Neodiprion lecontei: one gene and its partners. The protein of the gene in region 2 purifies or fractionates together with the protein of the main gene of each other region. This does not show direct contact. Links are inferred from orthologs where the notes say so. Each region holds a gene or a part of one and is shown on either strand. Other genes may lie near its edges. The genes, in order: FAD-linked sulfhydryl oxidase ALR, mitochondrial intermembrane space import and assembly protein 40-B, cytochrome c oxidase assembly factor 7 homolog and mitochondrial import inner membrane translocase subunit Tim10.

The links.
Region 1: the proteins of mitochondrial intermembrane space import and assembly protein 40-B (region 2) and FAD-linked sulfhydryl oxidase ALR purify together in Homo sapiens (co-immunoprecipitation; 3 studies listed by BioGRID and IntAct, with this or other methods). This does not show direct contact. The link is inferred for Neodiprion lecontei from reciprocal best matches to the Homo sapiens genes CHCHD4 and GFER.
Region 3: the proteins of mitochondrial intermembrane space import and assembly protein 40-B (region 2) and cytochrome c oxidase assembly factor 7 homolog purify together in Homo sapiens (co-immunoprecipitation; 3 studies listed by BioGRID and IntAct, with this or other methods). This does not show direct contact. The link is inferred for Neodiprion lecontei from reciprocal best matches to the Homo sapiens genes CHCHD4 and COA7.
Region 4: the proteins of mitochondrial intermembrane space import and assembly protein 40-B (region 2) and mitochondrial import inner membrane translocase subunit Tim10 purify together in Homo sapiens (co-immunoprecipitation; 4 studies listed by BioGRID and IntAct, with this or other methods). This does not show direct contact. The link is inferred for Neodiprion lecontei from reciprocal best matches to the Homo sapiens genes CHCHD4 and TIMM10.

Annotation. Positions count from the first base shown.
Region 1 is NC_060260.1:31,867,435-31,876,209, reverse strand, and holds FAD-linked sulfhydryl oxidase ALR, read right to left. Parts: upstream 3,981-8,775; 5' UTR 3,873-3,980; coding exon 3,789-3,872; intron 2,981-3,788; coding exon 2,564-2,980; 3' UTR 1,390-2,563; downstream 1-1,389. Other genes in the region: ribosomal RNA-processing protein 7 homolog A, read right to left, coding at 1-57, 157-462, 583-927, 1,009-1,045; probable ATP-dependent RNA helicase DDX10, read left to right, coding at 4,180-4,281, 4,440-4,631, 4,787-5,059, 5,509-5,630, 5,727-5,928, 6,002-6,164, 6,346-6,529, 6,709-6,885 and 4 more.
Region 2 is NC_060266.1:758,784-765,641, reverse strand, and holds mitochondrial intermembrane space import and assembly protein 40-B, read right to left. Parts: upstream 3,666-6,858; coding exon 3,192-3,665; 3' UTR 2,736-3,191; downstream 1-2,735. Other genes in the region: ribonuclease P protein subunit p14, read right to left, coding at 3,735-4,032, 4,231-4,253.
Region 3 is NC_060260.1:27,874,497-27,882,003, forward strand, and holds cytochrome c oxidase assembly factor 7 homolog, read left to right. Parts: upstream 1-3,540; 5' UTR 3,541-3,652; coding exon 3,653-3,755; intron 3,756-3,847; coding exon 3,848-3,982; intron 3,983-4,172; coding exon 4,173-4,642; 3' UTR 4,643-4,748; downstream 4,749-7,507. Other genes in the region: osmotic avoidance abnormal protein 3, read right to left, coding at 341-412. UniProt on the Homo sapiens protein: Required for assembly of mitochondrial respiratory chain complex I and complex IV.
Region 4 is NC_060266.1:25,975,779-25,983,143, reverse strand, and holds mitochondrial import inner membrane translocase subunit Tim10, read left to right. Parts: upstream 1-3,570; 5' UTR 3,571-3,728; exon of another isoform or gene 3,729-3,764; intron 3,765-3,995; 5' UTR 3,996-4,171; coding exon 4,172-4,465; 3' UTR 4,466-4,808; downstream 4,809-7,365. Other genes in the region: enhancer of mRNA-decapping protein 3, read right to left, coding at 647-1,240, 1,323-1,583, 1,689-1,834, 1,953-2,203, 2,289-2,446; regulator of chromosome condensation, read right to left, coding at 5,472-5,662, 5,761-6,033, 6,153-6,519, 6,623-7,002, 7,133-7,222, 7,342-7,342.

The DNA of each region.
Region 1 (8,775 bases), on a different chromosome or scaffold from region 2:
TGAGCTGTTGCAACTTCTCTTTATCTTGCTCGAATTTTTTACGCAGCTCTGCTAAATCTGTAATAATAACAAAATGATACAATTTATTTATGTTTAACAGAACTTAATCAACATACCAACACCAAATATGCACTTTGTCAAGTGAATGCAACTTACTTTGTTTTTTCGATTCACGAATTTGGAAGGTGTAGAAGTTAAGTAACTGCTTCTTTTCATTGCTTTTCGCCTGTTTTTGTCGAACCTTTCCGATGGCTGATTCTTTTCGTAACAATGCGCGTTGACCTCGCTTTTTTGTACCAGTGACAACAGTCCACCCATCTGGATTCCCTCTATTCTCTGCTTTTGCGCTCGCTTCCATTAATCTATTAGCTACACGCTGGTCGTAGCCATGCATATATTCCTCGATTTCTTTTTGAGTCTTTTCCTCATCACATACAGAGTTGTTATACTGCTTGCACCATTCTGTATGATGGGAAATCAAGGTTAATGAGATTCATTGTGTACTATGGACATTCTAGTCAATGAAAATATAATTACAGGATTGGCAATATAGTTCATGCTCATAAGAAATATTCCACTTACTTATAATACCGGTAGTAGAATCTTCTGTAGATTTCAACAATAAGACATAATTTTCAGGCAATAATAAAGCTTTGTCTAAGCCAGATTCTTTTTCAAAGACAATATAGCAGACTTTGAATCCGTTTTGAGATTCTTCATGCCTTGGTGCAAATGTCACAGATTTGACAGGGCCGCATCTCTCTGCAAATGCATTCGTAATACTATCAGCGCTGATGTAGGGTGAGATGTTTAGTACAAACAGCGTGCGTCCCTTTGGGTATTGAGGCTCCTGTTTCCTCAAGGAGTGCTCTTTTATGAATATCTGATGCCGCTCTGAGTTTGGCTCTCCGTATCGAATCCACAACACTGGAGTATTAAAAATATTTTAAATTTAAATAACAGGAATTATTATGCGACTGTTATATATGCATTTTGCGTTTGCAATACCTTTATATCCGTTAGTCATTTGCTTGTTCACTGTCATTGTAGTCCGGATTTGCAAAGAAATGTCGAAAAAAAAACAAACTTGACACGCGTTTGTACGAATCACAAATTTGTTAAGATTTATAACCTAAGCACGGTAAGCACGTTGACCGCATGTAAGGTATCCAACGCCTTAGGGTACGCTTCCAATTGTTACATTGTAACGGCATTCGCGTTTGCGACAAAAATAGCATCCCGCGATTGGCTGCGTTGGATATGCCCTCACCAAGCCAGAAATCTAGAGCCAATCGTAGGACGCTATTCTCGTCGCAAATGCGACGGTTGAATCACGTTCGTCGTTCACTGATGGGATTTACTTTGACTTCTCTAGACACATTGTCCTAATGTTTGTCTCTAACTTTTGCTTTATTGCATCAATTTCTGCTATTTTTAGAATTTTGGCATTTACTCTCTGAAGGCAAAAATTACTACAAGGAAGAATTAATCTGCCTTTTTTAATTGCTTTGTTCAGTTTTATTGCAAACTAGAACATCAGATGCTACGCATATTTCACTATATACACAATTAACAAGAACAACGTACATGTATTAACATTATTACATGTATATGTATAGTGTACAGTGTAGTGGCTGTAATTAAGCTTTCATCTCATCCATGATACTAATTACGTAAAAAACGTCTTCTATAAATAGCATACTACAATTGAAACTCACCAAATTTGAATTATACCAGAGGACTCAGGTGTCTGTAGTGTTTCGATTCCATAATTGTTTGCATCAATTTTCACGACTAAATTCCTTTACAGATTCCTCTAAAAATGCCTCGATGATTCCTGATGGCTTGTTATTTTATCATTTTTATTCATAATCATTGCGTCGCAATAAAATTCTGTTGTTTCTTCAGAAACGAAATTGAGAATTCTTAATGAAATGAGCACAGAACATTCGGGAAAGTAATGCCAAATGCAGTTAGGATAACATATCTAACGAGGTAAAAATACACGAAGGTTGAAACCTTTGTAGATGAATTGTAGACAAGTGAAATAACAAAAATCCAGAGTAATCAGCTCAACTTGTTTGAAGTAAAATACGTGGAACATGTGATCAATACTATCATGGTACTTGAATATTTAATATCATATTAATAATTTCACAACTAGACACATAAAAGACACAAAATTTTCTAAATGCAAGTTCCATGATTTATAACGGGAACCATGGTTTGATTATTTACCTTATCAGCCTATATTGCTCTGTTTGAATGAGTACACACTAAGGGAGCACTAACAAGGAGCTTAATCCATAGCCAAATGAATATAACTTACTAAAAATGCTAAGATTTCAAATAAAAATTTTTCCTGTACCTCGTCACATTTCTCAATACGTACTTGCAGTCATGAAATTCCGATGAATTGTACCAATGACGAAAGAGTAAAAATTCTGAATTTCTGTTATTAATTAACTTGAAGTTTTGTCTCAAGGCTATTTCAATATTGTTTTAATGTTAGTAACATTATGCACCTAGTTCACAAGACTGTAAATTGCAATGTGTAATTTGCTCAGTCACAAGAACCATCCAACCATCCATCTCGCCATCTTTGATTAACTAAATTACAATCGAAGGAAGGCTTTGCTAATTTTTCATTGACTTGATTGTGTATATTGCAAAGCCATTGGCTCAGTTGATGCTGGGACTCAGTTTGTGGTGGTGACTTTTTTAGTTGCACCTGCAAATCCTCTGCGCATGTATTACATGGATAAAACTTGGAAAATATAGTGAAGAAGTTCTTCATGTCCGTCTTTTGCTCGCTTGTTGGTTTATCAGGATAGTAGGCAGCCATCGTATGCAGAAAAGCCCACGTTTTAGAACCTAGCTCATCTTTATCAAGAGGACAATCATTGCGCCTATTTGTTGCTCCTGTAGACTCTACCTGCTGCGCAGAGCCCTGAGCCTCTTTCACCTTTTGTTCTGTTTTCTATGCAATTAAGGAAGAACCGAGAATAACAATTAGATCTTGAATCAGCGGAAATTTTGTCTTTACCATAATAGCTTGTTAATTGTGAATATTAACTTAACGAAAAATCTGTGCAGCAGAATGAACATTTGTGAATATACTTTCTTTCATGTGGGTTGACTTAATCCTTAATTTACACATCTAGTCTACTAAGTAAAACGTTTAATTGTTTGTTATGTCCATTCACACTACAGAGTGAACCTATATGGAGCACTCTAAATATATATAATATGGGTGTGTTATGAATGTTGAGAAGATATTAGAGTGTTTGAATAAGTTTGCAAGGCACGTCAAGTTTATGGAAATAAAATTTTTCTCCAAGTCATTCTCTGAAGAGTGACATACACTCACAGCGTCGTTCGTATCTTCAGTTTGCTGTGGTTTTGGATTATAGTAAAATAGTTATTTAAACTGTAACGTAGGTATAATAGAGACCGAATTTAATCTAACCTTTGTTACGCAATTTGAGCGTGACTTGAATAATCGTTCGGACACTCCAATTTTTAGTGTAAAATTCGAGACAATTAAACATTTGGCCTGGCTGGAGTATCCAGAGTATTCAGTTAAGGTTCACTTTCTAGTGCGAATAGATACTTCGTTGATGGTTGATTGTTTGAAATAATAAGAAAAAAATGTCCACTTTTGCAGTAATAAGAATTATGCATTGAATTGAAATATTAACTACTAAACCGCCTGTTCCAAGCGACATGATGGAACATTCAAGATTGCCGTATGTGGATTAAGTAGACTAGAAAAAAAACTATCTTACTTGTTCTGAATCGAATGTTTCCTTCTGTAATTTTGCCCATGTTTTAAAATCTGTACAAGTTCTACAGGGCTTGTCGAAAACCATATCTCTTTAGGTGACATTAAAACTGATAATGCTTATTTCATGTTTGTTACGTGATTCAATACATAACCTCTCAAATATTTACGCGAATTTTGTGGCAAGATTGGAGCATCGAGTATGTAGTACAGGAGACGCGGTCACGCCGTGAAAAATGTGTGCAACAAAGTGTAGCGGAACGATTGAAATTACTTTCTCTTCTTCACACTACTTTTGGCTCTTGACGATTGTGTATCAGTGATCGAATCCCATGTGGTCTGATTGTTGAGGGTACGATCGTGTTTGAGGTGTGAATTTTGGTTAATTATTTGCCATGTCGAATAAAGGGACGAAAAAAAAAGTCAAGATATACCATAAGAAAAAATATGAACCTGAAGAGAAGATCATTGAAAAACTTCAAGCTGCCTATAAAACGGTCAGTTTCAAGCATACTACAGTATTGTTGTTTATATCCTAACCTATTGTAGCATGATGTTAAAGAGTAGCATGCCGAGTGCAATGGCACCTGTCAGCGTCAGAAGGCGCTGAAGATTGCTAGTAGAGTTATAAAATTGTAATTGTCTCCCCATTTAGGTCGATATTTCTAAAGTCAAGACTTTTTCCGACCTCCCACTGTCGCAGCGAACTCTAAGAGGTTTGAAAGTAAACGAGTTCCTCGAGCCGACGGAAATTCAACGACAAAGCATCGCTTTAGCATTGCGTGGCCTTGATATTTTGGGAGCAGCAAAAACAGGCAGCGGAAAAACTTTAGCCTTTTTAATACCGGTAAATATATATACATGACAATTTTGGATGGTCATGAATTAACTGCGAACATTGGTAGGAGATCTGAATCACTGCCTAGTTCTATTTATATTTCACCGTTATAATATAATTGAATACAGATGACTTTATCGGACAATGAATTTTGTTGCCAATAGATTTTAGAGATTTTGTACTGTAAACAATGGACACGATTGGATGCTGTTGGAGCCCTGGTTATCACGCCAACCAGGGAGTTGGCTTATCAAATATACGAAACCTTAAGAAAAGTTGGCTGTTACCATGATTTTTCGGCTGGTCTTATTATCGGCGGTAAAGATCTGCATTTTGAAAAAAAACGGATGCATCAGTGCAACATTGTCATCTGTACGCCTGGTAGATTGTTGCAACATATGGATGAGAATCCATTATTTGACTGTGTGAATATGCAGGTACATTCAAAGGATCAATGTAGAGTTTACTCAGATGTATAATCAAATTTTGTGTATATATTTATATATATATATATATATATATATATATTGTATTTTGTATATACTTGGTGGCGGAATTCAATAATGAGGCATTTCCACTTATTTTGTTTTTGTCTTTCTTATTCTGAATAAGAGTTTGAATCGTGAACCATAAGAAAAATATCAAAATATAATGGCATGTATTTGAATTTAAAGAGTACTATTGTTTTGGAATTTGAAACCGTTTGGGCTTGGAAAAAGACATCTTGGATTATTCAAAATGTGTTTTCCCTATGTATTTTTCAGTTACCTCATTATTACCTTTGCTGCTTATCTGAGAAATTAGATAATTAAAAATTGAACAACTGTGTTAGGTTTACAATCTGGAATTGCCCTACCCAATTATTTTTGAACCCTGTTTGTTTTAGGTATTAGTTCTTGATGAAGCTGATCGATGTTTAGATATGGGATTCGAGCAAACGATGAATAGCATTATTGAGAATTTGCCATCTCAACGGCAAACACTTTTATTTTCAGCAACGCAAACTAAGTATGTATATCATATTGCAACTAAACAGATATTACATTGCTACCTACCAAAAGTTTTTTTAGATTACATACCCTAACCATCCAAAACTCACAATAGGTCAGTCAAGGATTTGGCCAGATTGAGTTTACATGATCCAATGTATGTATCTGTTCATGAACATGCCACACATAAGACACCAGAGCGTTTACAACAGAGTTATGTTGTCTGTAATTTGGAGGATAAAATGTCAATGTTGTGGTCTTTTGTTAGGAATCATTTGCGGCAAAAAATACTTGTATTTTTCTCCAGCTGCAAACAGGTATTTGTTTCTAAGTGATAGATTCATCACTTACGGTTATTGAGTACAAGTACAACATTTGAATGGTTTCTAGGTCAAATACGTGAATGATATGTTTTGCCGTTTAAAACCAGGAGTAAGTTTGCTTGCATTGTATGGTACACTTCACCAGTTGAAACGAATGGCTATTTATGAAGCATTTTGCAAAAAACAGCATGCTGTACTTTTTGCTACTGATATTGCCGCCAGAGGATTAGGTAATTTGTTTGATCAATTATCAATTAATTAGATAAATTGTGATAATGTATCTGGGAAGTCAAGAGTCATATTTACTCACTTCTTCAAGTATATAGAAAGTACCATTCGTTGTATACATGATTATCACTTTTTTTTTAATCAGTCACAAGAATTTCATAATGAAAATTATTACGAACTTAGATTTCCCGGCGGTGAATTGGGTAGTGCAAATGGATTGTCCAGAAGATGTCAATGCTTATATACATCGAGCAGGTAGAACTGCCAGATTCCAAAGAGGTGGAGAATCCTTACTTGTTTTACTGCCAAGTGAGATCAATATGATTGAGCAACTGCAGGAACATAAAGTTCCTATTAATGTTATCAAGTAAGTGAATTTACACTTACACAATTTCTGAAACGAAGTGGCTTCTCAACATTGTAATATGTACTCATGTTCTTTTCTATAAATGGCAATCATTATTTAGATTATTACTTGTATTTATTGTTAAGAACATTGGCAGACAAGAAATTGGTAAAGGTATAATATGTGAATATATTTCTCAGAATCAATCCGAATAAACTGCAGTCCCCTCATAGAAAGATGGAAGCATTACTTGCTAGAGATGTGGCGCTGAAAGAGACGGCTCAGAGAGCCTTTGTTGCTTATGTAAAATCCGTCTTTCTTATGAAAGACAAGAGTATATTCGACGTGCATCAGCTAAATACGGATGCCTATGCCAAGTAAGTTTTGTATGATATGATGGGGTCCTACCCATTATCTTGCCCAAAGTTTTCTGTGAATATAAATGTGATCAATCTGTGCGATCCCAGTGACATTCCAAGAATTATTCATTCATTACATGACGCATACACTTGACAGATCATTGGGATTGGCAATACCACCCAGGATACGATTTCTTCAAAAAATCAATAAAGCGAAGGAAAATCTACGTGCGAAAAAACTCAGTAAATTAAACGATTCTACAAATTCCGAAATATCACAAAAACTAAGTAATTATAACATCGAATCAGATAGTGATTCCGATAAAGGATCTGGAAATAGCACGAGTGGCAATGAGCCACGTGAGAATAGTGACAATGAATATCATGCTGTTGATTCGCGGGATCGAAGAGACACATTTTTTGGCAATGGTGAGTTTAAGAAAAAAAAATTTATAGGTATAAGCTGTTCGAAATTTTCAGAATACATCTGAGTATTTGTGGAAAGTATTTTTAGATTTTGCATTTAGAGGGGTACAGATGAGTCAGTTTTTGAAGATATTTTGTTGTATGAATAATGGAATATATGATTCTATATGAAAAAACCTTCCTCCATATGTACGGTTCTATTTTGTGTGCCATTTATAGAGGATAGTGACAGTGACGAAAATATTCTAACTGTAAAACGGCGAGACATAGACATCCAAGACGGCAACGATTCTCTGAACGATCATACGGAAGATAAATATACTGAAAACATAGACAATACAAATACAGCAAAGAAGAAAGCTGTCACAAAAGCTGCATTAGCTAAAAAAATTCTGAAGAAGAAAATAGTTGCGAATAAAAAAACTACTTTTGATGATGAGGGCCAGGTATTTGTATTTCATATATGTATATTATTTACATTATACATTTTTACATTCAATTTTTATTCTGAGATTATGAAATGACACATGTGTTAAACACATTTTTGATTTTTATAATACCTTAATTTAAATTTAATATCTTGCCAGAGGCGTAATTTGAAGATTGTGGCAATAAATTTGCTGGTAACGATAATGAATACATATTTATAGGTGATTGTAAACCCTACAAAATCTAAAATGTCTGAGAGAGCACGTGAATACGAAAATGAAGAGAGCTCTGGGATTGATATTGAAAAAGCAAAGGCGATACTACGTGAGGAGGATCGTTTTGATAAAGAACGATTCAAAGAAAGAATAAGAGCAAAACATCGGGAAGAGAAACAGAAACTGAAAGCTAGCAGAAAGAAGGTTCATGAGGAGGTAGAACAAGAAGGAGAGGATGCAGAGGATGAAGGAGATAGTGATGGTAGTAGCGATGAGAACGAGCCAGACCTGTCCTGGTTGCCAGATCCAGATAAAATTTATGGCAAACGCGAGGATACCGATGCTGTTCAATTTGATAATGCCAGTGAAGATACTGATGAAATTGACAGGTAATGAATGATAATTAGATTTTAAAATTGCATTCAAAATGTCTCGTTCTTGATGATACATTTTTTTTCACAGAATACCCAAAAGAAAGTTGTTAGATAATGAAGAAATAAACGGAAAGAAAAATAGAAAAAAGGCTAAATTGAGCGATAAGAATGTTGGTCTTAGTCTACTCGAAGATGAAGAGCTTGCTTTACAACTTCTGAAAAATCGGTAATCTCTAAGTTGGCATAAACAAAAAAAACCATGAAATTAATAATAAACGTTGAAGTATAAGAATTAATTTATGTCCGATTCCAAATTAATCCACTAATATTGGAACCATTGATTCTCAAGTCCTGCTCGATTTTCTCAAAGCAACGTTATTCTTGTGAACAGTAATTCTCAGATTCACGCACAACTTGCGTTCCTACTTTGAACTATTGAAATGTTTTTTTTTTAAATGGCAAAC
Region 2 (6,858 bases):
TGTGCGTTTCCTTTCGCAAAACAACGGCCAGCGTCTGTGTCCAAACTCTGACGTAAATCCCGCGGTAGCGACGTGACCTGGATGCTTTACAACGCAGCTTATACCGCCGGAGCATCGAATTACCATGGTATTAATAATGGCGATTTGCAGGATTATGTATTTGGGATTATTTTTATGCAAAAGCGGACGCAGCGCGAGAGGCGGATACGAATGCGACGCCAAGCTGTGTTAGCGCGGAATAAGAAAATGACGAGTTTCAGGATCCGCGGACGACAGTGATTTTTCAAATCGAAGTGGAATGCGGAAAGTTTGTCGTTCTAGTATGCGGCCAGACTAATGTTTAAATAATAGCCGGTCATTAAATCATGCACCCCGCGCATCGTTGAGACGTATTCGAAGTAAACAGGCGAGAATTTTGTGATGCAGGTGAAGATAGATAATGATTCGGGGCGTCGATATGGGATTATTATTCCCGAGGCATGTATCTCGAGTCAGTAAGGGCAACGCAACGCGGAGGCATTTGTGACGCAGGGTAGTTGGTCGCTTGGCGTGCATAACCGAGTCGTAATACTCGAGGCCTCCTCAAATCTAACAGCAGCTAACGGCTGCTCGACCTACGGCAGTGGAAATATTCCACATCGGCGAGTAGTCGCCGGGGAAGCAACGGCGACCGCAAGGCAAAGGCAAGGCGACGCGACGCAACGCAATGTAATCCAACGCAACCGCGTTACGACATTATAATCGAAAAGGTAACGAAATGAAGAAAAAAAAGAAAACGGAGTTCGGTGATGATGGATAATTTAATTTCCATAACGAGGCATTGAGGATGTCAAGGAGGGTGTGGTTGTTCGAGGAATTACACAAAATAATCGATCCCGATCGTTAGCGTATGAAAGAACGTCGATCTGCGCCTCCGCCGCTTTCGGTGACAAAGTGCGCTCCCTGACTTATAGCGACGATAGTTGACCGACCGCAATCGTTGTTTAACGACTTCCATGCGCTGTTGTTGATCCCTGGTAAATAGTTAATTCGTTCGACTAATTGACGAAAGCGATTGTAGAGAAACGGATAGCGCCCTCCTCTTTAATACATCGCATAAGGTACACGCGTTGCACGTGCGGTACGAAATTATCGAGTCATCGTTACCCAGCTGCTCGCTCGCTCGCTTGCTTCATTATCTTAATCTACACGCTTTCCCGCAGGAACATCGGCGATGCATGTGTGAGCGTGAGATTTCGAAAGAATTTCGCCCAGGTAGATACGTACATGCATACGTGCTCGATGTTGGATGATCGTCTGTGAGCGCCATTTCGACAAACAACGAATCCCCCGTTATACAGGTATATTATTAAGAATCAACAAGCACTTTCTACATACCGATCTCTATGTCTGAGCTGCAAGAGGTAAGGACGACAGATATTTTTAGCCTCGAGTATCTCTGTTCTCGGACTTCTCAACTATACGGAGGTGACAATAGGGATATATTTACGGATTAGAAAAAAAAAACAATGAAATTATACGCGAGTACCTAACGAGTGGCTAGATTTGTTGGACAGATAAAATTACAACTCGGCCCTCCCTTCACACTGCCCGACGGCATCGGTAACAATGGAATCCGTATTTTTTCTCCTTACAGATAGGATTTTTTATGAGTTTTCAGAATCGAAACCCACTGCAAAAATTCGCAGAGTCAGAGCGGAGGTCAACGTTACACGGTCGAACGGCAGGCGCGGGTGTGCTGTCACGATAACGCGTATGCGTGCTTTTAAGATGAAAGTTTTTGGGAAATTATTATTCAGGTTACCGAAGGTGGGTACGAATCGGACGGAAAACATCGCCCCGCGCAACGGTCGCCGTGCCCAGGCCAAAGTCGTAAAAAATTAAAGGGACGGGGATATCACGCGAGTTGGATAGTACACAATCACGTTTATACGTGTAATCGTGCCCGAGAAATTCTCGGTTACACGCAGTACGCACTCGCGAAGAATTACGATCAGCAGAAGGGAGACAAGAGAGAGATAGAGAGATAAAGAGAGAGAGATGGATGGATGGATGGAGAGTGAGGTGTGTGCTTGCTCCTCCACGCACACGGTGTTCGCATCGTTGCATCATGTGTCGCAGGTGCGAAGAATCGTGAGATGGAAAAAGATCGACTCGTCGAAAAAGCGGGCATTGATTGAACAGAAACTTGTGCAAGGACTCACCGTCGCTTTTCCTTCGGCTTGGTTCGCTTATTGTTAGACTCCATTTCATCGACCTGGCGCATGCCAAAAAACTGAGCGCCCACGTAGAATACCCGACACTCTTAGACACTGCCAAGGAATGCACACGCGTATCCTACTCAACGTGCTCAGGTAATCACACCGATGCGGTATAAATAACACGCTTTAACCACGTCACTGTTTCGGCCCTCACTAACCAACGATCCTGGTAGGAAAATACGGGACGGGGAACTTCGTTGATTCCGACGTGCTCGGTAAACTTGTTAGGGGGATAATTTGACGTCACATGGCCGCCACACGCTGCGTCAACGCCAACGACGGCAGAACCGTCAACTACTTTCTACCTAACCGAATCCGGCGCCAAATTCAAACGGCGTTAACGGGACTTGGAGCGTTGTAACGAATCGGCCCCCCTGCTCTTCGTTTATTCTACATTTGAAACAAAATGTTACTCTCACGGTTTACTCGTATATGCATAAACAGGAATCACACAATTACACATGAATAGCAGCGTTCGTTGGGAAATGTAACAGATGCAGCGCTCCATTTTTCGTTTATTCGTGACATAGCAGTACCATAGAAGAAAAGAAATGATCGCAATTTCACGCAACAGACAACTGTGCGTGTTACAAAAATGCACGTAAGAATGATAGATACAACTATTGAAATTCGGCACACCATATGCTTTCGAACGATTACAACTGGTAGTAAGTGAAAAGAGTTTACTGTTCCTCTACGATAATATTCTACCGCTTTCTACACCAGGGATACAAAACATTGCCGATATTCTAATCTATTGGTTAAGCTTCGATATCTATCGACGGCAAGATGAAATTTTGTACAACTGTTTGATCCACATGCCTCGAAGATATATCGACCAACAGCCGATTGTTTAACGAAGGAATTACTAAATTGGCAGTACATAAAGTAACAATATCTAACGTTGTCAATAATATGTAAATACATCTCTCATTTGGACCCTACCGAGTGTTGCATCTCGTTTTTACTACCACTGCTCGCTTCGATCCCATTCTCATCGCTCTTGCTTTCTCTACTGTCCTTTATCGGATCTTCAGAGTCTTTGCTAACTACCGCCTGACTCTCAGCCTGACCAAGATCGTCGAGGTCGGCTTCCTTGTTTCCGTACAGCGCAGGATACTCGGACATGCAAGTCTGCATGGTTTTGAAAGCGTCGTAGCAATCCGAGCCCTTTGGCTCTGCGGCGGAGTAGTGAAAGCAAGAGAACGCCTCTCTGAATTCAAGACCACAAGGGCCAGTCGCCATTCCACCGAGGCACGGACAGTTCCAGTTTATTTCTCCGTTGGCCAGTATCAAACCGGGACTTGGCTCGGGTTCGGGAAGATTCACTTTACTGGGAGAGGCGTGATCCTCTTTGGAGGCAAATATTATTGTGTCCTTACCCTCTTTTCTAACAATCGACATGACTAAACGACGATTGATTTAACCTTAAATCTATGACTTGAAAAAACTGAACAATACTACCAAATTTACTTAATGAACAAAAGTCCTGCTATCGGCAGCTAGAGATAGAAGATTCGCAGACGCTTTATGAACGGTATAAACGCAAGGCTCCCCTTCGTAGTCACTGGCCAACGTTAAAGCGGCTCTCAGTCTAACGTAGCTGTCGGATTGACAGCGAAGGACGAATCTGCGGTCGCTGACGTTGTACTTGAGTATATCTACTTGCGACTTGGCCCCAACAGCTCCGAATAATTTTTTCACAGCCTGCATAACATGCTTCTTCAAAAATACCGCACTTATCTCACGGTTCGAGTCGTTGGGAAGTTCTCTGTAAACGAAGAGAATAAAAAAAATAGATGTTAAAATGTTTACGATCCCTAGTGAGGTGAACGGAGTTTCTCCTCGCGACCGAGGAGCTGCATTCCGTGTCTTTCTTTATTTTTTTTTTTCCTTAATTCAAGGTTAGATCCCGATCCGGGTTAGGTTAGTACTACGATAACGTGCGAGAAATCAATGGCATACTAACAAAGAGACGTCTAAGTAACGCATGATACACAGTAATAATCGTTGGCCACAATTCACTCACATTGACGGCAGCGTAAATCGTACAACGATTTCGAGGGAAATTTACTATTCCTTGATAATAAACGGCAGAACGAGAAGTTAGCAATAGTTACGGACGCACCCGTATCACCGTCGACCATTCGCCACGCCGGTATGGCCTGCAGGCTGGAATTCTAGAACTTCGGTGTTGCATAACTACGCCGCGTGGTTCAACTTGCCCCCCACAGATGCCGTTTCAACCCGGCAGAGATTGAAACGATCTCGTGTATGCCCGGTTGCGTCGCGTGGTCGTACAGGCGCAAAGCGACCTACGAATTTCACTTCATAATCTGCCGGATCAGGCTCGATGGAAATGGAAATATTAGATTTTAACGGTAGAGAATAGGTACTGTATTCCAGATACGCGAGTGAAATTGCTCGCAAGAAGCAAGGAGCGTGTGCGTCATCGTCAGCCTGAAATAAATCGATGCAAACCATGTCATCCATCCGTACATGCATAACGCCTACTTCGGGTACCCTATCTATGCGATATCGTTATATTTGGGAGACTCCTTATAGCAAGAATACCCTTTAGCGACTGAATTTCCAATGGTTATCTCTGCTGCAGGATCGTACACGGTCATCGCAAGAATGAACCGATTGCACGTACGCGTACGATACGTGGTAACTAACACACTAGCACGGTGCGTATGATTATATAGGTATGTATAACGTGTGTGGTATACACGGCGGGGCGGGCTGAAGCATAGTAAGTTTAAGCCGCTCTGATTGAGGGTCCGCGAAAGGATGAGTGTAAGTAATAGAACGGACGGAGCGACATAACGAGGTCCATATATCTCGGCGCTTATCGGTGAACAAGTTTGCAGAACAATCCCTCGACTTGGTCGGTAGGTAGGTAGGTAGGAAGCTGGTAGGAAGGTTGGGCCGGCTCGGTGACGCAGCGCAACGCGACGCGACGTAACGCGACGCAACGTAGCGCAGCGTTGTTACGGTTTGGTCTGGCAGGCAGCTCCCAATAAATTATGAGCAGATCCACAAAGCGGTCTCGAGGGGCGACGCCGGCCAGCCTCCGCGTCCGCCTGCATGCCCGGGTGAAATCGGAGGGCAACGTTGATAGATACGCATTGGGCATCCGTTATTTTTTATTTTTTTCCTTTTATACTTTTTTTCACTTTTCATATCCGTGACAGTTGGCGAACTTTCGAAAGGGCCCCGGAACAGCCAGGGAGCCGACCATGGGGGAAAAAACGCACATCGGTTTCGCGTAAGTTCTACCTTCTTGTATTATCTCCGAGTCAGTCTATAATAAGTTTAGTCTTTGGTTAGACAGAAATTACCGGATACGTAGAACGTTAAAATATATGTATTTGTGGTAAATGGATCTGTGATAAATGTGTCCGCGCAACAATTGACGAGGTTACTCCAACCGAAGTAGAAGGTTGGGTCAAGAGGACCCCCGAAAGTAATTCGACCAATGCACTGGTATTAGAGGGATACAGAAAGGGAGAGAGAGAGAGAGAGAAGGGGTCACGTTTTATGTTTTGGCGAAGCTCCCGCCTACGCGGATCTCTGCATGCATGGAGGAAATACCGCCGAGTTATCTGCGGCGTACGGGAGACGGGCTGATTTATTAACGCAAGGAGAAACGGACGGACAGACGGACGGACGGGCGGAGGAACGGATAAGCTGAGTAGGTGGGGTGGGTGGGTGAGTATATACCTACGTCCGTACGGGAGTGACGTCACAATGCGGCGGCGGAACACGCACGTTTGGCTACCTGCTACGAGAAGAATGGAGCGTTGTTATACCTCGGTGCTGCGCGCAGTCGTCTTTGTACGGTTCGACACTAAAAACGAAACAACTAAAATGATAAGAACGATTCCCCGCAGTCACGTTCCTCGACTTCGCGTTTGTGTTTGTCGCCAACAATGGTGGCCCGTACCCTGCCCGTGTACCATTTAGGTGCGTAGACAGTTATAACTAGGTGAACTTGACTGGCATTGGCGTTGTGCACCGCGCGCTCCTAGGATGAGAGTGAGTTTGCGCCAGGAGAGCAGGCGTTAGCCGAGGGCAGAGTTACAAAGTGTAATCTTCTGTCGAGTAATACCGAGAACTCTCCTCTGACGCAGCATCCCGTCGTCTCTACTCCCGGGGCGAGAGCGGGATCGAGATATCCGAGAGATCTACGGATCGCATTTTAAATGCAGGATGAAGCGAGGCTGTGCTCGTACACCCGGCCGTTCGCCGCGCCGCTCTGCCCGCTTATCTCATTCCTGGGCGCAACTAATTTTCATTTTACATTTCTAAAAGGTAGTTAATTTTATTTATTTTAACCGTCGCAACTCGAGGGTGCCCGGCCGAGCTCTGGAGATAGCCGTCCTCGAGAGGATCGGGGAACAATTGTCCATACCGAGGACTGCGAAACTTCCTCGGAGTAGGCGACGCGACAGTTCTTTACCAGGGGATCACAAAGTTCAAAGCTGAGCAATACCTGGGTTATTTAAATTACGCCAAAGACACTCACCACCTCCCTTCATCCGTCTCTCAGCTCTCTTCGCCGTTGTTGCCACTCGTCCGGGTCCGAGGAGGG
Region 3 (7,507 bases), on a different chromosome or scaffold from region 2:
CGGTTCAACCCTCCAATTACAAGATTGACCGAGACAATCGGCCGTTTCAAAAATCGAACGGCCGTTGGGTTTCGGTGGCTGGAAACACGTCACTCTTGAGTCCCAAACTCTGACATTTGATTAGGTAGGAAATAATATATCCATACGGAGATGCAACAATATGATAATTGCGTGTTGTGTCCTCGTCGCTAGGGGCTACCTTCGGTCAATATCGATGGTCTCTTACTTATAGTACCACGAGAAGGAGGCAATTTATCATTTTTCAAAATTGATTCTTGTGCACTTGACTATGTATTCCTAATTGATCTGACAGTATAGAGTTCAAGGAAGAAACACTCACCCGACATCCTTCTTGCTGCTCCCGGACGGACATCGGCCTGCATCTTAATGCTACTTTGACGGACTCGCTCATCTGCGTGTGAACAACAAAAAATAGTGACAATTCGTTCATGATTTTAATTTTGTAATATTTTTCTAGCAAAGACCAATAGTGACAAACGAAAGTAATATCCACCTCGACGATACCCTCACGGAAAAAACCTTCAACTTTGGTGTAAATTCGTACCCTCAACTCATAGATAATGCTAAATCCTTGTAAGAAAAAAGTTGAGGGTACGAATTTACACCCAAGTCGAGGGTTTTTTCCGTGAGGGTAAACTACTATTACTGCGGGAATAAGGTGTTTTTTTTTTTGTTTCTTCGTTCACTCAATATTACAGTGCTTATTATACAAGTTTTAGACTGTATGACGATCGATACTAGCTGTAATTAATAGATTAACGCCAAGCGTTGACAAATTGTTAACTTCAATGTGCTAAGTACGACACGAAATAAGAAAGTTCCATATTCTTAATTGGGCCAATTAGTTTTGATTAACTGTGTTTAAATGTTGGAAAATGGTAGCCGTAAATAAAATGAAGCAATTGAATCGGTGGCTACGGTACATAAAGATATGATAACAAATAATTACTAAGTATGATCGTAACAGTTATAGAAAAAATTCTTGACATGAAATTGTTTAAACGATAATACGCTTCCTTTCACCGTAAATTTCTAACATGGTAACGTTTCATAGAGAATGAATTTCAGTCCTGCAGGACAATTTTCATCGTCGGAATAAAACAAGACGATAGGTTACTCGGGACACTAAAATACTTGTTCGAAAATGCCTTGAAGAAATAATAGATGTTCCTTACCATAAGACAAACATAAATCAACGACAAGATCCGAAGGTTGACTATGCAGTCGTCGGCTAATGCTATTTTCGCTAGCGAATATTGAGTCTGAAGCGAAGGTCCAAGCTATTGCAGGTGAATATCATCAATGAATTATACAGAACTATAATATGAGCGAGTAGCAGCTGCGAAGAAACTTGTACGTATTGCTGCGTGAGCTGTGCAAAGACCGATCCAGGTTTGAACAAAGATCGCAACTGGCAAAGTTCTGCTCTTCGTTAGCCGGAAGTTTTTAATATAAACCCCATTATTCACGCGTTGTCGTGTAATTTATTTAGCGTTCGGATAATCGATCGATCCCCACGATAGACACGAGGTGTCACCTTTATAAGCGGGGCAACAACCGACCATCGCCTACCCCGAAACTCAAGGCTTCTTACCCTTGAACCCAGGCATCATGTGGTCAGGCATTTCGAACTACACGCGTGTACCTTTACCTTTACGTGCAGGTGTACCGCCTCTCTGCTCAGTAGATGGTAGATAAAAGTGCTTCCACCCCTGTGTCGAAGGTCAGCTTTATGTTAATGCGCAACCCCAACTCCTCGCTGTTCGTAAATATGTGAAAGATAGGATAAGGGATGACCGGTTAGCCCACTCGCTCAAGCTTTTACCGAAGATCGATCGAGCGAGCTAGCAAGGCACGAATCGAAAGTGACGTATATTTTTGTTGACTACTCTGACGAGTGCGACAATTACCCCCTGCGTTCTATCGGTGCACTGTAGTTTCGGCAACTACGATGCTAAGTGTTGCATGCTTTCGCGCCTGATTCGCGTGCAGATAACGTTCATTTATCTCTTACAGCCACGTCTAAGACTAAACTTGGTGCGCCTTCAAGTGAATAATTACCATTGGACAGTGTATAATTGGACTAAACATATAGCCGTAAGATCTGTTAACGAGGATTCGTGTGAACTGTAGAATGTGAAAATACTGAACATGTGAAAACAAAAATATCTTTTTAAATATAATGGTAAAAATTGAATTCGGTAAAAATGTATCCAAAAAACGGATTTTTGGTAAAAAAAAAAATAGCCACATTGATAGAAAAAAATCACATATATCCATTGTTCAATAGATCATCGTTTTAGGAAGCAGCATGAATAGATATAAAAGAGCAAAAAAGAAATAAAGGCATGGTGTATTTTTTTTGTTGAAATCACCACAACAGCTTAACTTGTCGTACAAAAAAGCTGACAATACAAAAACTGTAGTAAATTGACTTGATTAGCAATTAGTCTGATAATTTTTATTTTCCGTACCCTTGTCGAATGCCCATCGAACATTAGTGAACTTGTATTTTTTTACCCAACAGTGTTGCTATTGATGTTTTCAAATAATTTATGCCTAAATCAGAAAGAATGAGCAAAGTTTCCTATTCGGGCAGCAGTGGGGTCAAAAACCAAAAGCTCCCAGTCAAGGGTAACCGATGAATCGGCGTAGATATAATTGTAATCGCGTGTCTAATGAATGATTTGGTTTGCAAATATACAGCATGATGCTATTAGCAGTAGCTGTATTGCGTGAATTGGGCATCGAACTGTAGTGCCTGGCGTTTTTCCGAGACTTAACCTTGGGTGATGACGAATAGTGAAAACAGAACAGTTTCCAGTCACGCGAATCGCTACATAGTCGAACTTCATGTAGGTATGTTTATTGAACATACATATTTTTTTTCCACCACGTCGCGGTTCACCTCATCATTATAACCATCGATTGACGATGTGGTATTCAAGGGCGAGGATGGCTCAATTTTCACGTGCTAATTTATGCCGACGCGACGAAGCAGGATGCAAGGTTGCCTGCGTGTAGGCAATCCGTGTTACTTTAGGCGATTAGCGTTTATCCTTATCCCGTAACTCATTGAGAGTTGCCTACAGGCGGGCGGATTTACCGATTGTACAAAAAGATCCGAAGAAATTATTCCCAGATGATTTTGAATTGAAATTAAAATATCTGTGCATGTGGGGAAAAAGCGACGCAAGAATGTATCGTATTACCGTGCTAATCAAAGTGCGCTTTAAGTAATTAAGTAATTTCTAGTTTTCACCTCGAAGACTGCAGAGCTTCAATCAGGCTTCGTTGATCGAGGATAGTTCATGAAAACCGTGCCGTAGCTGCATGTTGTCAATTCTCGTTGCGACGGCGATATTCAATTCGCGGAGACAATAATTTCGCACAGAGCGCCGATCCAACCAAGCGCGCGACTGACTCTCAACTGACCGACTGATATTTCAAAGGGCTACAATGCTCGAGACGAGCACCGTAATTCGAGATATCGAACTTGCGCACACCCGGTCTCGTCAATCTCGTTTGCCGACGGCGCTCAAGGTTCGATTGTCTCCAATTTTCTCTCGCGAATCTTTCTCGTTCTAATGTCGTCTTTTTAATTCATATTGCGGATTTATCGTGACAGGGCATGGCTGGCTACAACTTGAAGAGCCCTGAAGAGGTGAAAGAGTATCTTAAAAACCTTCACATCGAATACAAATTCGGATGTCTCAGCGAGAAAAACCCGGAAAGTAATACCACCCTTCCTTTTATAACCTCATTTCCGACTTCCGCTGCGCGTTTAAAAGCATTCAATTTTCACATTCTGTGTTATGTTATTCAGCATGTCACCTCCTTGGAGATTACGAAGAGAGTATAAGTAAGGATTATGAAAAGTCGGCCAAAATCTACAAGGAAAATTGTGACGAGAGAAACTTTGCCCACAGTTGCCGAAAGTTTGGAGGTTATGCACTAATCGGTGAGATCAATCCCTGTATTAGATTGTTCTAAAATAGGTATACAGAACTTCAGCTAAGATTACAGAAAATGTAATGTTAAACAAAGGCTTGAACGTAAAAATTTTCATAAAGCATCCCATTACTCCGTATTTAATAACTGTAACGTGTTTGGTTTTTTTTTTTTCAATTTCATGTTAATTCTTTACAAAGGCAAAGGTCTGGATGCGGAATCACCTACAGAGTCTTACAAGTATCTGAAAAAAGGATGCGATGTTGGAGACATGATGTCCTGTGCGCATGCAGGAATTGTGGCAACGTCCTCGTTTAAAATTGGAGAGAAAGAAGTTCCCATAGATTTTCCAACGGGGCTTGATTTACTTCACAAAACTTGCCACGAGCACAAGTTGGAAAAAGCTTGCTACTACCTGTCAGGACTCTATCTTGGCGGGGTTCCGGATTACTTGGAAAAGAACATGAAGGAAGCTTACAAGGCTTCGATGAAAGCTTGCGAGCTTGGAAACGCATATGCCTGCGCCAACTTGTCACAAATGCATGCACGTGGCGACGGAGTTCAGAAAAATTCTGAACTTGCCGAAGCCTTCAAGCAACGAGCACTCTCGATTCAAAGGGCCTTGCAAGAGACCAAACATATACCGTTTCAGCAGGGTATGGGAAGCTAACGTGACTGCCAGTACGTTTGATAAATTGTTGAGACTTATTTCGTTGACATTTATGTACATTTATTTGTTTTCAATTATAGCAATAAATTAATTGTTTTTAGTTTAATCCTTGTCGTGAATATCTACCTACTAGTATGGTATTACAAACATTCATTTTACTCTCTTTAAACTGGTAACAGAAATTCTTTAAAAAACCTCCCAAATGATCAAGGTTCACACTTCTTTCAATGGTATTCAAATCTGTAGATTATCGCAAAATCCGTAAGTTTCTTCTGTTCCTGTATCCGAAATGGTTTGAAAATTAAAAAATTCACAGGAAAATGTAGAGTATAATTGCGTTTTCCATACAAAGTTAGAAACGGGCTAGCAAAAGGCTACAATGATATCGATTGACTTCGATTATAGGTAAAAGGAGCTACTTAGGTGATATTGCGTTGATCGTGGCAAATGAATTTATGAATGTTCGCTCTCACGTCACCTCAGTGGCCTATTAACAGGCGCACGAATGTGACTAACGTCTGGTCAAAGAACCGAGTCAGATAGAGTTTAACTAACATAAGAATATAATGAAGCGACGCTTTGTCGTGCAAATTGCAAATACGACGTAGAACTCGTGGAGGACAGTCATGAACGTAGTCTCAGCATGCTGATTAGAGTTCTCATGATTAAAGCTGCAGTACCTAAGCATTTGGCTTATCGATAGCTATTGAAAACTACATACATAAATCTATAATTGCGAATGAATTCAAGGATTACGAATGATGATGAAAATAATTGCAGTTAGTGATCAACCTCTAGTTATACCTGTATTCATACTTCAGTGTTTACAGTAATATCAAACTGTGCTTTTACATTGCCGTCTGTGTTGATAATATGATAAATTGACAATGGTTAGTAAGAATTGTATAAGATCAATTAGATTAATGGCTTTTCACATGGTTTCAAGATAGCACTTGCTTTTGTTGAGTTATAGTCACTGAAAGAGAAACAATTTTTCTCGTATAATGTTAAGAACTTCAATATTTGCCCACAACCACATCTGCGAAAATGCTATCACAATCGGCTTGTTACATCGTCAACGGATTGTAATAATTATAACGTATATTAGCCTTACGAATAACAAGTTCTTCCAATTTGAACTTGTCGGTTATCGTATAAAACATTCTTGGGGTAAAAGTTTTTTGACATCTAGTGAAGGTGTCCAAATCCATGTATACAATATCCTCACTAGCTCACAATTTTTTAGAAGTAAACTGCAGGATCGCTTCTAAAAATCCAACCCCGAGATTCATTAACACGCAATGAACGAATTGTTCTGATTACGATACGGACACGCCAATAGCGTATAAGGACACGATCAACGCCCACAATCGGATATCCAACACACATACCTATGTATGAATATATACTTAAATTTTACAGCAAAGCAACAACTGATTAAATACCAATATCCGAGTCAGCTGCTTTTTCCATTACGCAAATATTTCGGCAATCCAATTACATTTTCAAAACACCTGAATGTAACCCAGAAAACTCTAAAAAGTACCCAGGTAACAAGGCAATAAGTGAACAAATATTTTCCTACTACATTGTAGGAGCGACGTTGCTGGTATATATTATTTCACCTAGTTTTTGCCATAGTTAAAAAATGAATTTAAAAATATCCGAATCCATAGACTTCGCGATTACTCCGCCACTGCCTCGCAGCGATCTGCGAAGGTACAAAATTACACGCAAACAAAAACATGGAGTAAAAATTCCTGAGACAAACGTGTCTCTCGAGAAACACTGTGCAGTTGGTTACCACGCCAGTTCTGTCGCCAGTCTGGTCGGCGTCAGCAGAGTTGGACAAGCGGTCGAGGTTCTCTTCCATACTCAGGTATGTACTAAAAACTCGACCCTGTAACGGCCGATCTAGAATTGGTATTTCTAAACTGGAATTTATAAAACGACAAATCTCGATTCTCGATTATAGAAGCGATGATCAAACTCGCATGTATACTAGACGCAAACACATGCAGTTGTTATTCAAAAGTGTCGGCAGCTGAAGATTGTTTATCGTATGACTAAAGCATACGTGAGGGGGATTTAAAATTAACTCAATTTAAATCGGTGTAGTTATAAGTTTAAATCGTAATCGACGTATTGCCGGAAATATAATATTACTCGCCTGCGCGTGTTTATTTCTATATATTACAGTACCTATGTGTCTCAGTCTGTGGAATAGAGCGAGATTTTTTTACAATAGTGATCGCTTCGATGAAGAAATCGAAACCCGGTTAGTTTCGTAAAGTAATATCTGGCGTGTATCGTAAAGATTGCGGAATTTTGTGAAAAATTATAGCAACTTGGATTTGCGGTAGGCAATCACAAGTAATACGTATGCTGTGCGGATAGAGAGTTCTGAGTAACGGTTTTTCGGACCGTGAAAGTCAATATACCAGTCAGTATATAGAAATTGCGTATTTCGATCGAAACTCAGTTTGAATTACACTCGATGATGAATATTCTTACAATACATATATATTTTCAGTAATTTTAACCGTATATTGTGAAAATATACATATTTATTTTTGCAGGTATACTCATACCGATTACATGCATTACATTACATCGGAATTGCATCGTTGCTGCAAGTTTATAATGTCTGATCTTTTATACTTTTTCGAATTATATCGATGTGGTACTAAAACATTCCTCACAGTCATCTCAATATAGCCATTTTATAGCACATTGCGTTCAGAATTGATTAAGAAGTTTCGTTTGCTCCGTCAAATATTCTTGATATACCATATAAGTGTAAGGAGCTGTTATCACGGAAAGAAAGACGATAGTTGACTCTAGCTGATAGATTAATTATATTTT
Region 4 (7,365 bases), about 25 Mb from region 2:
ATAATACAAACAAGCTAATAGTTATGGATACTAGCTAACGGTATACAGTAGAACCCCGATTAACTGGGATTGGTTTAACCGGGGAGCGAATTAACCGTGACCCTCTGGAGCGCCTCCGAGCTTCGCGTGAGTAACCGGGTATTAGCGGTTGTCTTGGAAAGGGATTGGACTTGTGAAAATACCCTTAGTTCACAGACTGCATCACATGCTCGGCAGTCACTATTGAATCGATCGAAAATTACTAATAATTCGGATTAACCGTGATTTCACTTATTCGTGGATTCTTCGGTCTTGAGCAGCCCAATTAATCGAGGTTCCACTGTACTCGTAATTACAAAAGTCACGTGAGACAAATTCGCTCCTAAAAAAGAGCGTATGACAAAATTAAGAAACGGACAGTAGTCCAATGTCGATTTAATTAACACACCGCGTAAATAACAAACACGCGTACGGAACACGCGACAATCGCGGGCGTTGATATTTAGATACATATTAAACTAGTTTGATGATAAAAACTGGATAATTAATTATTTTGTTCGAGTAATTAATAATCCGTGGGTCGTTGATTTCAGTTCGCATAATGGCAGATTTAGAGAAGCCGATTCTAAGGTACCTTCACGGAAGTGATGAACGTCATAGGAATCTGCTAGGAGCTGTTGGAATGAAGTGGAATAACGAATTTCGGTCCGAACGGTGATCTGTAAGTGATACCAACGTCCGAAAATACTTTAGCAGGTAGGGCCAAATTGCAAAGATACAATCTTCCGTTATCCGCGCTATGGGACAGGGGCAATCCACCAAGGAGACTGAATTTTGTCATAATTCCTGGAGTCCCAGCTGACGGGGGTTCAATTGCAAGAACTGGTGCTCTATTGCTGTTCGCCCATGTTGCAACGGGAGCAACTGTCCTTGGCGAGCCTTCCTCGCCAAGAGCAAGGAGAATGAGATCAGCTACTGCGGGAAGATTCTTGTACCGAGTTTCAACCCTGTTTCCCGATAGCTTGTACAACGACAATTCCTGCAGCAGGAAGACGTCTTCCGAATTTTCAACGTACACGACAGTCTTCACCCCGTGACTTGACAATTGGCGAGCGCAATTGACACCCGCAGCTCCTGACCTGTGGGGTCCACACAGGGCGACTACCGTTGGCCATTGGTGCGCATTGTTCGGGTTTAGTCTATGCCCACCACCCAATAGCTGTAGAATTATTTCCGCTCCTGCACGACCCAGTAACTCGACCTAAAAATTTTGCAGAGAACAATAAAGAACGGAATAGTTTGGATGAAAGTGGTTTTTAGGCCTGTCAAGTTTCTCTACTTACCCTGCGATCCCAGCTAATACCTAGTCTATCAGCAGCACCGATTAATTGACGATGGAGATCGACCGTTATGCTAGGAATTACTAATCCATCGTCAGTTACATATTCCCGGATACCAGCAGACGGCACTGCAATTTGTCTGAATGCTGTAGGTTCGGATTCTATTACGTTTTCATCGTGACGATATTTTGGTACACTTCCTCTGGTGTTTTCAGACTGACGAACGATGTCTGGCTTCAAGGAATTTATTTCTTGCCACACAGCCTGTAATAGTTTTATTTAACTAATTAATTGTTGTATAGCGCTGTAAGTGGTGTGGGAAAAGGTATGAAAAGTACAGACATCAGATTTATGAAATGCCATAATTACCTCCTTATTGAACAGTGCTAAATTTTTCTCAAAATCAAAGTCCTGCTCCATCGACTGATCTATGGGTGTTCCAAAGGCTTGTTCATCTTTCTCCTGCCATCTTTGTCGTTGCGAACTCCTTTTCTGGTTTTTTGTGCTTATCTCGCCTGGAAATAACAGTTCGGAATTGTAATTTTACTTAAGTATATCCCACAATCTTTTACACTACGATATATCAACTGACAAACGTTAAAATTTTACTACCGAAAGTGCAGGAAATCCTACCTAGATATATTTTTCCATTAGCAGCAGGCTCTGGGTGTGACTGCATAGAATCAAGCGGTTTCCGCGCATTAGATTGCTGTTGAATATCGGAATTAGGAAGTACCAAAGGTGGAATGCATTCAGAAACGGATCTACCAGCTCGTTTTGCAATGGGTCGCCTCACCGTGACTTTGCTCGAAGTCTGAACTTCATCACGGCAATCCTCAGCTTCCTCTGTTGAGATTATTTCTATATGAAGTATGTCCTTGGCACTATAAGGGAATAAAATTAGAATTAAATAATGTAAAAGATATTGTCGTTAACACCTAATCATCACCGATATGATCTAAAACTTACGACAGAACAACTTGCGGAGAGGGGTAAGGTACCCCGTTTCGAAAAGCCTTTGTCAAAGTGACGGTTTGGCCGTTAAGGTCGACAATTTGGCCTTGGTAAGTGCCAAGTGACTCATCGCACTTGACCGACACGGTACACCCTAGGAATTGCGTGGACATTGTATTGTTCTGAAATTGAAAAGGAAGATGAAGAGTGTTGCAGCAGTGTCTGTACGGGAAGTCAAGTAAATATCAGGTATGAAACTGTTTCAAAATGATTCAATGCTTGAAATACATTGAAAATACCATAACGGGTTTCGCAACCCCCTATGAGGAGCAAAAAACGAACTTTAGCAGACTTTGTATTCAACTGTAACCCGGTAAATGCTAATATAATATGTACGAACATCTATGCAGGGTGGATATACCTATTGATATATTATGCTTCGGACTAGAAATAGACGTTTTCGGCTTCCAAGTGCTGGAATACCCAGCCACCCTTTCGACCTGGAGAAGAAAACAATGGTTCTCTGCTTTTCTAGCGACAGGATATCCACCAATACGTAAGCAAAGTCTAGCCGCGCCGAGCTGATGTGATGTAGAGGTAGGTTAGAGCACGTTTATTACATTACCATTTATCCTCTCTTTGCATTTACCTTACGACTGAACTGCTCTACTGCACATCTTACGCGGTCCAGAGGACGCCACTCGACGGCTCGGCGCGTCGTATTTCATCGCACGGGGCACGATGCACGCCCTCCTTGCACATTCGTTGAATAGGATAGTTCGGATGAACGACATTGTCTCGCGTATCGCATACCGGGATGGGCGATCTTAGTAGAAAATAAACACCGGCATCGTGTTTGAATTCTTTATCATCGAACTAGCGATGTTCTTCTGAAAACATCGAAACATGGATTGTTAACACGTCGATGGTGAAAACAAGCGCGAATATTTTAAATGATTCTAGCTACAATGGTAAAAAGGAAAATGAACGCGAAAATTTTTAACTTTCATTATAATTAAAAATAAGTATTAAGTATGAGAATTCAATATAAATTAAATTAAGTATGCAAAAGTAAAATAATTAAATATACAGATTAATAGTGAAACATTTGGTAGAGAACACAGACTTATTATAAAACTTAGTAATGTGTGTTCCGTGTTTATAAATAAGTTACCGAGAATTGTTTGCTCACAAATTTAATTTATTCCCGACTTGACGACGTCGACAATTCAGTATTTTCCATCGACTATCGATGTATCGACGTTAAAAAACACCGATCAAAAACGTCGATGCTCCCGTAAAAAAACATCGATAGTCGAAACATCGATGTATATCCCCCATTCCTATCGCATGCGCTGCATGCATGCGCCATGCCAGCAGGGTGCTGTTTCATTCAGGGATCATCACGGATTCCGACATGGCCTTATCGAAGACGGCAAAAGTCGGCATTGGATGGTAGGTATGTAAATGGACGAATAAGTAACAGTGTAGGTACGTTGCATGCACTTTCGTAAAAGGCAGACAGAAATATGTGCCATTTGCAGAATCGCATCATATTTCATATCAAATTTTTTCAATCTTTGTATTGGATTATACAACATAACCCGTTTAGTACGCATGCATGTAAGCAGCTTTCTTTCGCGGCAGCTATCATTGGTGAACGATCATGTCATCTCCAATTTTCCTCGTGACAGACCATAAAATATAGTTTTTTTTTTCCAGGACATTCGCCGTATTTGGAGGGTTGTACGCTTTTGTCTTGTCCAAACGATCCATAGAACGGAATCGCTATGAAATGATGAAAGCGAGGGAACGTGTACGAAACTCCAACTTTGAATAGACTGACGGAAAAGTTTGTCGAGGCCTGAGCAAAGTTTAGTTTATTATATATTGTAAACATGGCTGGTCTACCGCAGCTTGACGAAGAGAAGCTCAAATTAGTCCAGGATCTAGAAATAGAGATGATGACGGACATGTACAATCGCATGACGTCTGCCTGCCATAGGAAATGCATTCCGCCAAAGTACTCTGAGGCAGAGCTCGGCAAGGGTGAATCAGTTTGCTTGGATCGATGCATCGCCAAGTACTTGGACGTCCACGAGAAAATCGGCAAGATGCTCACCCAGATGACTATGCAGGATGCGGACTCTTTACTAAAGCCGAAAGAAATAGAACAGACTAAAACGGGATGAAGTTAAATGACTTCTATATTGTTACCTAGTTAGTTGTTTAAATCCTAAGTAGTTTCCATAATAGTGTGACATATAAAATCAAAATATATTTATGATGTCAAGTCTATCTGTTTCGCTAGTTTAATTTTGAATTTTCTACAATTTCTACACCATAAGCAGGACTTTCTTCAAATTCTTCCAAGTCCGTGTACTATCATCTAGAAGAAACTATGCTTTGCTCTGCAACTTGTGTTTCTATCCGATTTAATAAATAAGAATTCAATTAATTATCCGTTACTGGATTATACTGTTAATTTGTATTTCTTTGACATTCAACTGCAATTAAACTTGATGATAAAATTAACGTGTCTGATTATGGTTTTTTAATGCTCGACATTGAAAGGTCACAACATTCTTGTTTCGTCGAGTATAATAATTTATGAGCCAAACAGGTGCAGTAACGTTTTGTGAACAGTATATTGATATATGTAACAACGTTGGGTACAGGTAGATGCATTATCCGAGGTACGGTTATCGCACGATTTGCTGTAATAAAAAATATTGTCTTTGGCGTGCAATCGCTCCTATCTTTACAGAAATCCGTGTAAAACATTCAGTCTTTCATGACGCATATTGATTAGGGTTTCACTCTGGGCAGTGTAGCTCCACGAGAGTAATAGATGCGGCAAAACAGTGAACAAGACAGTAAAAAATGTTTACCCCATAGCATAATTTTACCGTTTCATACTGACCCTGCCACTCGAATATCGTATGAAAATATTTAATACCGAGCAAATTGTCTCGGAGGAAACAAAGAATTGATTGTTGTAGCAAGAGGGCAAGTATCAGTACATACCGTGGTACGCTACCAACGCTTGATTACATGCACCTTAAATACTTTTCCATTATTAACTGTCCAGGGCAACGGAACTTGCGAATCATTCAATAATTTCTTAAAAATCAATAGTAAATATAGATAACTGAGCCATTAACAGAGCTACACCGGAATTTTGTCAGATCACCATATTTAATTAGTGATTTCATCCTCGATTGGTCGAGGTATAGCCAAAATAACTGTGTGTTGACCACCACCTGCTACTCGTATAACAGTTCTCGATTCTAGTTGTCTTCCTTTGATAACAACTGGTGTCTCGACGTCCTCTTCTTTCCCTGTGCCTAACTGGCCACTGCTACCCATCCCCCAAGCATATAACTCTCCTGCAAGTTGCAAAATAGTTATCCCCTAAGAATTGTGTTCAATGCAAGGTCGTAATTAGAGATATTAATTGTAAATGTAAAATGAGCAATTCAATCACCTGCACTGGTGACAGCAAATGATTGTGTACTTCCCGTACACGCGTCTATGCATTTAATTGATTTAAGAGCCGGAACTGGAACAAGTTCCTTGGCATCTGTGCAATTTGGTCCAAGGCCTAGTCGACCATATTCTTTCCGTCCCATGGTGAAAACCTGTCCCATTTCATCGAGGGCAATAGTATGGTGTTGACCGCTGCTGATGTGTTTCCATGCACGACCGCTGAAGGTTTTTGAAACTTGAGGGTAAGGATGTACGATAGCTTCTGTAAGACCTTAAACACAATTTCATGTACTGTGTGAATAATTAATAATATAAAAGAAAAAATAAAAGAGCATAGATTAATAAGAGATTGATGTTGGCACAGTATGCTTGATGGTATTCATAACTCACCTATTTGATAATAATTGTTTAATCCGAAAACATATATCTCCCCGTGGTGGTATTCTTTCACAAATGTACAGTATAATCCTGTCCAAATATCTTGAAATAATAGCTTTTTTGTTGCCTTGAGGGTAATTAGTCCTGGAGTTAGAAGATGGGTAATCCCATACCGACTGTGTCGGTCAGCTGATCTTGCAGCTACTCGTCCAAGCTGCCCCTGCTCAGCACAGCCACAGGTATATACCTGACCTTTACCTGTCAGTAAAACAAGATGGTCGGCCCCAGACGCGATTTTAATCACTTTTACACCAGGTAATATCTCCACGGGAAGCCTCTCGTTTCCTCGAGGTGTAAGTCCCATATTTCCGTGTGAATCCTTATTTTGAAACATGATAAAGGCAAACATTAATTATTAGTTAAACTCTATTTGAAATCTCCAGTCCTGCCGTTTAAATCTATATCGCAGACTTGAAACTAACCCTGAAAGCCCCCCACGCAAATACCCTGCCATCCTCAAGGAGGGCCGCCGAATGCGAGTCACCGGCAGTGACCTGTACAGCTTTTTCTGGGAGCGTAACAAATCCTGGAAAAGTCTCCGAGCCTTCTTTGCTAGTATCTCGTCCAAGCGCTCCCTCGTCATTACAACCAAAGGACAAAACTTTCCCATCTTTATTTAGGCATGCATTGTGCATTCCACCTGCTGCTATGTCAACGATATCTTCATGTTCAGGTATGACGGCAGGGCGCGTTTTTTCATGCACATCTTCGCCCAGCCCAAGCTGACCAACATCCCCCTGTCCAAAACTCAGGATCGAGCCTGCAATCTGCCGCCGTGGCAAATTGGGTGCAGGCACAAATTCTACAACAATAATCAGTGGCACGTCAATGTTGTAAGGTCGGATGTGATCCTCTATGTAGGTTAGGTATGTGGCAAAATGATGCAGTAATTCTCAGAGGTAAGTAGTCGGATGAAATAGTATGAGACTCACCATATCTGTGCTTGTTGTTCTTCGCGTGTTTCGCCGAATTCTCTGCCGGAGGCACCGAGGCAGTTCGTTTCATCGCTTTCTTGGGGGGCACTGCAAGAACCAATTTTAGGGTTAAGATCACAGCGAGATTCACTGGAGCAAAGAACGGAATTCTGACAAAAAGAAACAGCGTGAAATTAACTCGAAGTCAATGTTCTCGCCATACTTACTGATCTCACGAAGACTAATCTAAA